3 linked regions of the Cricetulus griseus genome follow. The protein of the gene in region 2 interacts with the protein of the main gene of each other region in a pairwise test. Links are inferred from orthologs where the notes say so. Each region holds a gene or a part of one and is shown on either strand. Other genes may lie near its edges. The genes, in order: proprotein convertase subtilisin/kexin type 5, nuclear fragile X mental retardation-interacting protein 2 and Fbln5.

The links.
Region 1: the proteins of nuclear fragile X mental retardation-interacting protein 2 (region 2) and proprotein convertase subtilisin/kexin type 5 interact in binary tests that used the Homo sapiens proteins (3 or more experiments, as listed by UniProt). The two-hybrid records come from large-scale screens. The link is inferred for Cricetulus griseus from reciprocal best matches to the Homo sapiens genes NUFIP2 and PCSK5.
Region 3: the proteins of nuclear fragile X mental retardation-interacting protein 2 (region 2) and Fbln5 interact in binary tests that used the Homo sapiens proteins (3 or more experiments, as listed by UniProt). The link is inferred for Cricetulus griseus from reciprocal best matches to the Homo sapiens genes NUFIP2 and FBLN5.

The regions. Positions count from the first base shown.
Region 1 is NC_048596.1:43,663,928-43,666,929, reverse strand, and holds the end of proprotein convertase subtilisin/kexin type 5, read right to left. Parts: intron 968-3,002; coding exon 585-967; downstream 1-584. UniProt on the Homo sapiens protein: Serine endoprotease that processes various proproteins by cleavage at paired basic amino acids, recognizing the RXXX[KR]R consensus motif. Likely functions in the constitutive and regulated secretory pathways.
Region 2 is NC_048600.1:91,086,035-91,089,687, forward strand, and holds part of nuclear fragile X mental retardation-interacting protein 2, read left to right. Parts: intron 1-2,426; coding exon 2,427-3,653. UniProt on the Homo sapiens protein: Binds RNA.
Region 3 is NC_048598.1:104,199,248-104,203,000, forward strand, and holds the start of Fbln5 (fibulin-5), read left to right. Parts: upstream 1-1,357; coding exon 1,358-1,413; intron 1,414-3,753. UniProt on the Homo sapiens protein: Essential for elastic fiber formation, is involved in the assembly of continuous elastin (ELN) polymer and promotes the interaction of microfibrils and ELN. Stabilizes and organizes elastic fibers in the skin, lung and vasculature.

The sequences.
Region 1 (3,002 bases), on a different chromosome or scaffold from region 2:
CAGTGAGCATGCGCTCTGTCAGCCTTGAGGCCGCTAATCCTTCGTTTTAGATGGGTCCTGAGCATTCACAGGAGAGATGGCCTTTCGGCTCCCCAGAAGTACTGTGAAAGAAACAACAAGCCCCTTTTCGCGCTCTTTACAGATTTTCTTCTTAAACACAATTGAAAGGGGAGAGTCCTCCCACCCCAGCCCCAACAACTCTCTGGTACTCTCCACTACATCTCTCCACTAGTGGGTCAACTATCAGAATTCCAGAAGGAAGCAGGGGTCTCCAGCAGAATCCTTACAGGTCCTCTGTTCCGTCCACTTTAGAAATCATGTTAGAGTGTTCAACAGATCTTCCACTTCCACTTCCTGCGTTTAAAGTCTTGACGAACCCTCGAGGAAAATGCCTTTGAATTCTCGCTTTTCAGGATCTGTTCATTGCACTCAGCTAGTCAAGAGCAGCACAGCAGACTCCAGCATCCCTACATATTTAGGTTGGAAACAAAGTTAGGACAAAGCACACACACTCGAACCTCAGCCAATGCGATGGTAGCCCCAGGCAAGGCTGAGAGCCATGGGGACTACAAGGCAGGCTCTGTTTACTGGAAGGAGTAGCTCTCATCATCGTACTCCAACTCATCATCTTCTGCCTCCTCCAGCAGCCCGTACTTGAACTTCCGGTAGACAGTGCCATCTTGGCTCATGTAGACGATGTCATCCTCATCATCTTCATCATAGTCTCGGTCCCTGTACTCGATCACCTGGTCCTCCTCAAGATAGCTGCTCCTGTAGGAGGAGTATGACACGGTGGGTTCCGCCAACTTTTCGTAGCGCCCCTTTGCCACAGGTCGGCTTCGAGACTTCCGCCACACGACCACAGCGGCCCCCAGCAGCAGCAGCAGCATGGCACCCGAGGTCACCAGCAGGGCGGTCTTGGTGCGCTCCGAGGGCACGGTCTCGCTGACTGGAAGGATGCACTCCTCTGATACCAGGCCACCCCAGAGGCAGCAGCAAGAGAGAAAAGAGGAAACAGAAATGGGAAAATCAGATTCTGAAGTAAAGAACTGCCCCTCCATTTCTTTTCTAAACCTAAAATGGTAGAATCAGTGGTTTTTTTTTTTTTTTTTTTTTTCGTTTTCTTAGGAGGTATACCACTTTACAAAACTCAGTATCTGGCCCACAAGAGTCCCAATCTATATTTAATAAAACCAACTGATGCTCCTAGAATGGTCAATTTAAGATTCCAAAGGGACCCCAGATCCCTATCTCATGGGCCAGTCTCTAAGGGTCCAACATTCTCAGTGATTTTTCCATTTCTGAGATGTGTGTGTGTGTGTGTGTGTGTGTGTGTGTGTGTGTGTGTGTGTGTGTGTGTATGTGTGTGTGGTGTGTCTACTTCTAAACAAGAACTCTGAATTTTTTTTTTAAAAGATGGAGATGTCTCTTTAACTGTTTTTTAGACTGGTGCCACCCTTCAAGACCAATGAAGCATACTTTTATAAAGCCTACTGACTCTTAGTCATGTGTGGCCTTGGAAATTATTTGGGCCGACTTGCTTGTCATAGACAAGAACTATTTTGTGTAACAAGTAGACTTTCCAATCCATTAGCCTCAACTCTAGGTGGGATTCTGGAGGCAAATTCTCTGACCACATGTTTGGTTTCCTTGAATAGCCATGGCATTCCCTGAGCAAGAAAAGGCATGCTTTATCATCTTAAAATCCTGACTGCCATTAGCAAGGGATTTATAGTGTAATTGAAATTATTGAATTTCAGGGCCCTTCCCTTTCTTATTTATAAGCCTCTTTTTTCAGGGCTTCCCTGAGGATGTTGCAGCACCAAAACAGTGTATGGCATAGCTTGAGCATTTAGTTGATTTTTCTCATTTTATTTTCATTCATTCAGGCAGTATGATTTGAGTTGCTTAACTACTTTTATTACCTTTTCTTTTTAACCTACCATACAGTAAGGCAAAAAGTATAAAACAGCCAGAGGAATAGGTATCTGCCCAGTTGGATGTACAAATTTTTAATACAAAGTAGGCTCTTCCTCCCCTCCCCTTCCCTGCCCCTCTTTCGTGTTCTTCTACCCCTCCACAAGGACCTTGCAAGCACTCCTGCAACTGAGTAACCCCTGCACACACACACACACTTCACACACACTTTTATTTTGCTGATGCTTAACTTCTATTTTATTCTAACAGAATTTTGCCCATCTAGCAAAAAAAAAATGTTTCCTCTAAAGTAACAGTATTATCATTATTGTATTCAACATTACCAGTGTCAGCACAGACTTTCCCCCTGGAGGAAATATGAACACACTAGAAGGACAGATAAGTAATCTGTCCATGGCTCACAGCTCCTGAGGCAGGAGAATGTTCAATGGACCTTTGGAGGTTGTTTTCTTTTCAGAGTGCTGAATGCACTCAGGTCTTACAGTTCTTAGTCTTAGGTGTTGGGTCAGGGTCAGCCTCTACCATTTGGTTTTTCTTGAGGGGAAAGCTGTCTCAGAAGCAAAGACTCAAGTAAGCTTGAATATCTGGGTTCGTTATTTCTCCCCATACACATACTTCTGTAACTTTCCATCACGGAACTGTATCCTTAGCCCAAGAGGATTTTTTTTTTTTTGGTAGGGTTTGCCCCAGATAACTCTTTCAGAGCCTCTTAGGAACCAGGAAAACTATCAAATTATTTCTTGGAACTGACATTTCAGAAACTGCACCCAAGAGGCTCATGCTTCTGTTTTCATTTAAGAACATTGATGTAACAGGGCTCTTGCTCTCAGCTGTCAGCCCAGCTTCAGACCCTGAGGGGGGTGCAGATAAGGGTCTGGCAAACCAGCTGCTCTTGGTGGGTAAAAGCTGAGAAAGGAAAGTTCTTGGAAAGGTGAAACCTGGAAACTAATTGAAAGTCTGAAACAAACAAACAAACAAAACAATAAACAGCTGGTATCAGTTTTGGGTTTTGGATTTTCTTTACTTACAAACAACAAACATAACATACACTGGTTTTGGTCAGG
Region 2 (3,653 bases):
GGGTGTGCTAGGCAGGAGCTATCTAACACTCAGCCATTAAGTTGTAATTCTGGTGTTTCACCCTCCAGTGTAGCTGGAATTAGTGTGGGCCACTGTTTCCTATCTGAGCTTTATTTTCCAAGAGTGATTTCTGGTATCTGAATCACAAGTAGTGCTCTTAGGTAGAATTATTCTGGTTTACTTAAAAGAATGCTTTGATTCATCTTGGTTTGAACATCAACTTTAATTATGCATGTAGCATTGCCCACCTTTAGTTGAAATACAAAAAATTATGAGTAATAAGCCAGAAGATACAGATATTGCTTAACCTATTGAGCTATTAAATGGTGAGGTAGTTCTTGTCTTTGGTCCAGAGTTTCACAAGGGCAAATTTAATGATGATCTGGGTCTCCCCTTCCCCCAATTTTTGTTTTTTGTTGAGACAGGATTTCCGGGATGAACCACTGTCTGGCTTATTTGTTTTTTGAGACAGGGTTTCTCAGTGCAGCTCTGGCCTAGAACTCTCTCTAGATCAGGCTGGCCTCTAACTCCGATCCTCCTGCCACTAAAGGTGTGCCACACAGCAGCTTTCTTCGGTTTTTTTTTTTTTTTTTTTTTTTAAGAAATTTTTAAGGAAAAAAACACCACATAGTGGTCTTGTCTCTTTTCATAGTTAGACTCTTTCTGTGAGAGGAAAAAAAATGTGTTTGAGTCGGGGTCCTAAAATGTAGTTCCAACTGGCCTGGTATTCATTTATGTAGAATATCTAGGCTGGCTTCAAACTCACTGATCCCCCTGTTTCTGTTTTCTCAGTGCTAGGATTGTAGGTATGGCCACAACTCCATGAAAACTTTTATTTGGGAACAGATAGAATTTAGTGGTAGAGCACCTGCTAGAACTACTCATCCCTAAGCAACACAGGAAGTCTGACTTGTATCATAGATTTTTAAAAAAACAGTGCTTTAGCACTGGAATTTTTTTTTCTAACAACTGAGGATTGCGCTTGGATTTCATGTATGTCGGTCAGGAAGTTAACTTCTACTAGGAGGTAATGGCACACTTCTTTAATCCCAGCACTGGAGGGGGTGGGGGCAGAGGCAGGTAGATCTCTTAGTTCAAGGCCAATCTGGTGTATAGAGTGAGTTCCAGGATAGCCAGGGCTACAGAAAAACCCTTTATCAAAAAACCAAAAAACATTTTTTTTAGTTATTAAGAATTGAGGATTTCCCAAAGGACTTTAGAGGTCATAAAACATTTGATGGCTAATTACCATTTTACTAGCAAGTAGGAGTTGTGACCCTAGTAGATCACTTGTAATCTTTAAACTTAACTATCAACAGGGAAGTTTTACATTCAGATACTTGACAATTTTAAAAAATTGGATTCTTTCATTGTGAGCAAGCATTGCATAAGGGTAGAAACCTGTGAGTTCTAGACAGGACAGAGTTTAGATTTCTAGTTCTGTCTCTTTGTGGCCTGTGTGTTACTTTATCTCCCTAGGGCTTGGCTTTTAACCCAAATATAAGAACAATTTTTTTTTTTTAAAGAACAAATTTTAAGGGTTAGAAACATTGGTACATATTTTTTTGTTTAATGTGTTACGGTATGACCTGATATGAAAGTCCCTGGGCATTATAGCTCTCTGTGTTAGATGCATTGGCAACTAGCCATGTAAGATTTTAATTTTTCAGAGGCAGGTGGATCTCTGTGAGTTTGAGACCAGCCTGGTCTACAAGAGCTAGTTCTAGGACAGCCTCCAAAGTCACAGAGAAACCCTTTCTCAAAAAAAAAAAAAAAAAAGCAAGCCAAAGATTTTAATTTTTCACCCCTTTTTGGTGGGGTGGGGGTTAGTACTAGATTTTGAATTCAGTGGTCATACATGCTAGGCAAAGGCCACATAATTTCTTTTCTTTTACATTTTTCTGTGTCTGAACACTTGGGATTTTGCCCAGAGGGTAGCACTGGTTGTAATTGTGTTTGTTTTGATACAAGGTTCTACCCTGTAGCACAAGGTGGTTTCAAACATGCAATCATCTTGCCTTAGTTTTCAGTGTGCTGGAATTGCAGGCAGGTACTATACCCGCCTGGATTGTATTGCATTTAATTAATTGTGAGGAAATTTTTATAATAGCCTCATGGCCATAATGTCTAGGTTTATTCTGTTTAGATAATCTAAAGGAGTATTATGGCATGCTGCTTGAGAGGTCCTGTTCTTTCTAGTTAATTCTGGCTAGTGGCCCAGTAGATGGACCTGATGTGAATTATGTCCTAACTCTGCCTACCAATGAATTCATAATCTGTGATATGGTGCTGACAATTTTCTTTTCATGGTGTTATGAGGTAACAAACCCTACAGCATAGTATCTGGTATTTAATAAGCAATTTCTAGTCTTCAGTACTAATGTGATTTAAATGTGTTTTGTTTTGTTTTTCTTTTCCTTCTGTAGGCTATGGTGAAATAAATGGTAATGCTGGAGAAATATCTTTAAAGAGCCTCAGTTCTGATGAAGCTACTAACCCTATTTCTAGGGTCCTCAATGGCAACCAGCAAGTTGTAGACCCTAGCCTGAAGCAGACTGTAAAGACCAGCACCTTTGGAAAAGCAGGAATTAAAACCAAGAATTTTATTCAGAAAAACAGTATGGACAAAAAGAATGGGAAGTCTTACGAAAACAAATCTGGAGAGAACCAGGCGATAGATAAGAACGACGTAGCAATTCCAAATGGTGTTATAACAAATAATTCAGCCTATATTACTAATGGTTATATGGGCAAAGGAGCAGATAATGATGGTAGCGGATCTGAGAGTGGATATACTACTCCTAAAAAAAGGAAAGCTAGGCGCAATAGTGCCAAGGGTTGTGAAAACCTTAATTTAGTGCAGGACAAAATAATGCAAGAGACTGGTGTCCCAGCATTAAAACAGGGACTTGAAAGTTTAAAGCCTGACTATAGTGAACAAAAAGGAACTCGAGCAGATGGTTCGAAGCCTATTTGGAAGTATGAGACTGGGCCTGGAGGAACAAGTCGTGGAAAACCTGCTGTGGGAGACACACTTCGTAAAAGCTCAGATATTAAACCTGGTTTGAGCAGCAAAAAGTTTGATGATCGGCCTAAAGGAAAGCATGCCTCAGCTGCTGCCTCCAAAGAGGACTCATGGACCTTGTTTAAACCACCCCCAGTTTTTCCAGTGGACAATAGCAGTGCTAAAATAGTTCCTAAAATAAGTTATGCAAGCAAAGTTAAGGAAAACCTCAACAAAACTGTACAGAACTCTTCTGTGTCACCATCCTCATCGTCATCCTCTTCACTATCTACTGGGGAAACTCAGACCCAATCTTCAAGTCGATTATCCCAGGTCCCCATGTCAGCTCTGAAATCTGTTACTTCTGCCAACTTTTCTAATGGGCCTGTTTTAGCAGGAACTGATGGAAATGTGTATCCATCAGGGGGTCAGCCACTGCTAACTACTGCTGCTAGTACTTTAACACCCATCTCTACTGGGACTGATTCAGTTCTTCAGGACATAAGTCTGACTTCAGCAGCTGTTGAGCAAATTAAGTCTAGCCTTTTTATCTACCCTTCAAATATGCAAACGGTGCTGTTAAGCACCGCACAAGTAGATCTGCCCTCTCAGACAGATCAGCAAAACCTGGGGGATATCTTCCAAAATC
Region 3 (3,753 bases), on a different chromosome or scaffold from region 2:
GAGCTTCCTGAACTGTAGGTTGGACAGTCTGGTCATGTCTTTTGGATCATAGTGTCTTTGGTACTTTTGCACTAGATCGAGCGGGTTCCTCTAGAGTTGGTGCTAGAAAACAAGAAGGAGGGAAAGTAGAAGAAGGAAGAGAAGAAGCCGGGAGAAGAGGAGAGAAGAATCCGGGAGAAGAGGAGAGAAGAGAGGAAAGAGGGCTTCCAGGGCCCATGAGTGGCTCACTATTCTTACTTACTTTGAAGGCCAGAGACACTTACTAATTAATGCAAGAAAAGGCCAAGGAGAGCGATGTGAGGGCGGCCAAGGAGAGACGTACCCTTTGAAGTTCTGATCTCATACAGCCTCCCTTCTCCGCTCCTGCCCCACATCCTTGCTTGGGAGCATCACGCACGTCCCAGCCCTTGGTAGTGAGTTCAAGTTCGTGCTTCTACAGGGCGGGATGACACTCCCCGTCGCGCGCGCCCTGCTCCGCCCAGGGGAGGCCGGGCGCCCCCCAGTTCGGCGCACTGCCGGGCTCCCCTCCCAGCGCCGAGCACTTGGCCCTGGCAGACGCCCCAAGATTGTTGTGAGGAGTCTAGCCAGTTGGTGAGCGCTGTAATCTGAACCAGCTGTGTCCAGACCGAGGCCCCATTTGCATTGTTTAACATACTTAGAAAATGAAGTGTTCATTTTTGACATTCCTCCTCCAATTGGTTTAATGCTGAATTACTGAAGGGGGTTAAGCGAAACCAGGTGCTGGCGGCGAGGGCTCTGCAGTGGCTCCCAGCACCCGGCACTGTCCCGGCCCTCCGCGCAGCCCGCTCGGCCCCTCCGGAAGCAAGTCGCCCGGGTCCTGCCGCAGAGTCTGCCTTCCTCGCATCGCCTCTCCTCCCGCGCATCTTGGTCATGCCAGGATTAAAAAGGTAGGTTCGGAGGCTCCAGGCTCGGGAAACCTAACTCCAGACCTGATGGGTGGAAAAATGGCTATGGCTGAGATTCCGCCCGTGTCAGGGCACTGGAAAAGAGTTTAGCTAGTGATGCAATGACACTGTTAATTACAAAAAGCTGCGCCGCTCGCTCAAAGTTCCATCTCGAAGCCTTCGTTTGGGAGTGGGGATTTTTCTAACAGTGTCCGGAGCCAGCATCTCGAGAGAGGGCTGCAGACAACCTCCCTGTGTCATTCCTCTTTCTTTTTTGGAAAGGGCAGCAACTTTTTTGCGCACTTTACAAAATATCACACTACATATTTTTTAAATTTGGGAAACCGCTGGCCACGGCACCAGCTTTGCTGCGAAGGCTGCGGGAGAGAAGCCGAGGGAGTCTCAGAACACTCCTGGCTGCGTTTGCTCTATGTGTGCGATTCACAGAGGGCATGGGACCCAGAAGTTTCGAGCCAATGAACAGTGGACACTGCAGACAGAGACGCATGTAAGCAAATGTTTGCTGTTCTTTGCGGAAATTGCAATTCCAGTCAAATAATCCTTGAGCCTTGAGGAACTTTAAGGATGACATCTGTTCCGCCTTTCTCCAGCGTCTCTTGAAAACATAGCTGTCCTGCACAGATCTACACACTTTCTGTGTGTGTTTGCGTGTGGGAGGGGTGCATGCATGCTAATACAAGCTGAGCCATATTATGGTAAGCCATAGCAATATTGTCATCCTGCGTCCAGACCTGCAGTGTCTGTCAATGACAGACAGTTCTGAGAGTTGGAGGGTCTGTTTTCATTCACTTTCCTTTTTGGCGGGGAGGGGGTATGGCCGACCAAGATTCAAAAGAAAAGCTTTGGAACACAGATTCCCTCTCCGGTATTAATTATGCTTCATTTTTGGAGTTTTTAAGGTTTTCATGACAAGCTACAGCTATTCTTGATGTGGGAGCAGCAGAGTTGGGTACTATTTCCTTCTGGAACGCCTTTCCATTAGCCTGGAGCTTATTTGGCCCCCAGGACCCAGCCACAGCTCTTCCAGGAGGCTGGGCTTGGGGCTGGCTGGCCCTGGGCTGGCTCTAGCCAAAAGGAATGGGGAGTGGGGTAGGGGGGGAAAGCCGGTAGGATTAGCATGCCTTTTCCAGTCGCTCTTGAACTCCCCTGCATATAGCCAGGCTGTTCTGTCTCCAACATAAACGAGACAGGATTTTATAACCACCTGAAAGGAAACTTCATGTGAAGAAACAGGAAAACATTGAAATTCATAATATACAGACTGGAAAATAAATTTGTTATTGTTCTCTCATTCCTTCCAGATATAAAGTCTGGCTCTTGCAAATATCAAAAAGCCCCGGGATTTGGCTCTGCACTTTATAAGGTCAGAGCTGTCGCGAGTGTTGGAGAACCTGGCTCACATAGGCCCTTAGATGAAACGAAAACTTGTCTACTCAGGATTGGATCTGGGACTCCATGAAGGAAGTGGGTTTGCATCTTCCAGTGCATCAGGCTCAATTTTATCTGGATGCCACTTTAACTCTGGGTCCTCTACTTACCTACTGCTGTTTCTCCTGAGCCATGTGACAGGGATGTGAATGAGTTTGTAATCTCCTGAGCACTAATTCTGAGAAGGCGGGGACTATAGAGCCATGGTGTAGGGCAGCACAACAAGCCTCAGACTCCAACCAGGTCAACTAGGTCCCCAAGTTCATGGCCATGCTTCAAAACATCCAAGACCGCCTCCTCTGGGACACCTTCCCTGACTTTGCTGTCCCTCCCTCAGCCTGACTCTTAGCATCCATTGGGTTTTTCTAGCATTCTCATCAAAGGGAAGCTCCATTCCTGGTCCATGCTGCAAAGTAGCCAGCTCAGGTGGTGGGCAATGGGGCCACAGGTCTGTAACTCTTGTCCAGTGTCTATGCTCAAACAGTAGTTGTCAGACAAATACTAGAAAACTGAATAACACTAGTAACCCGCTAGACCCCTGCGTCTGTATGCCTTTTGTATTGTGCTATGTGCATTCACTTGGCTATGTGATGATTCCACGACTCTTTATCCTGCAAAATAGCTCTTGTACCCTGACCTATGTTGTGGTGCACATCTGTAACTCCAGCATCTGGGAGGTAGAGGCAGGAGAATCAAGAGTTCAAAGCCAGCTTTGGCTGCATAGCCAGTTTGAGGCTAGCCTGGGCTGTATTTGAGACCCTGTCTTAAAAAGCAAAAGCTGGCTATGGTGGCCTGTGGCTTGTAATCCCAACTCTCAGGGAGCCGAGGTACAACTGCCACAAATTTGAGGGCAACCTGGGCCATATTGTGAATCGTAGGTCAGCCTGGGCTACAGAGTAAGACCTTGTTTCAAAAATGAAATGGCACCCCAAGCCACAAAGCAAACAGAATAAAAAAGGGGAAAATATGAAAGAAACTCTGTACATATTGAATACTCTCACAGCCCTGGGAGCCACCATTTTGCTTTCTGTTTCTGAGTCTAAAAACTCTGGGTACATGATGTAAGTTGAATTCTACATGATTTTGTGTGAGTCACTTATTTCACAGCATGATGTCCTCGTGGTTCGTCCCTGTTGTCACCTTTTCTTCATTCTGTCTGTATATCTATCTATCTATCTATCTATCTATCTATCTATCTATCTATCTATCTATCCATCCATCTATTTGGGGCATTTGTTACGGTGCATGTGTGGAGGTCAAAAGTTAACTTTTAATACTTGTTTCTCTCCTTCTGTTATGTGGGTCCTGGCCACCAGGTCATCAAATTTGATGACAAGCTCCCTTTCCTGCTGAGCCATGTCATCATCTGCCTTTTTCCACTGTTTACTTTATTTTTTTA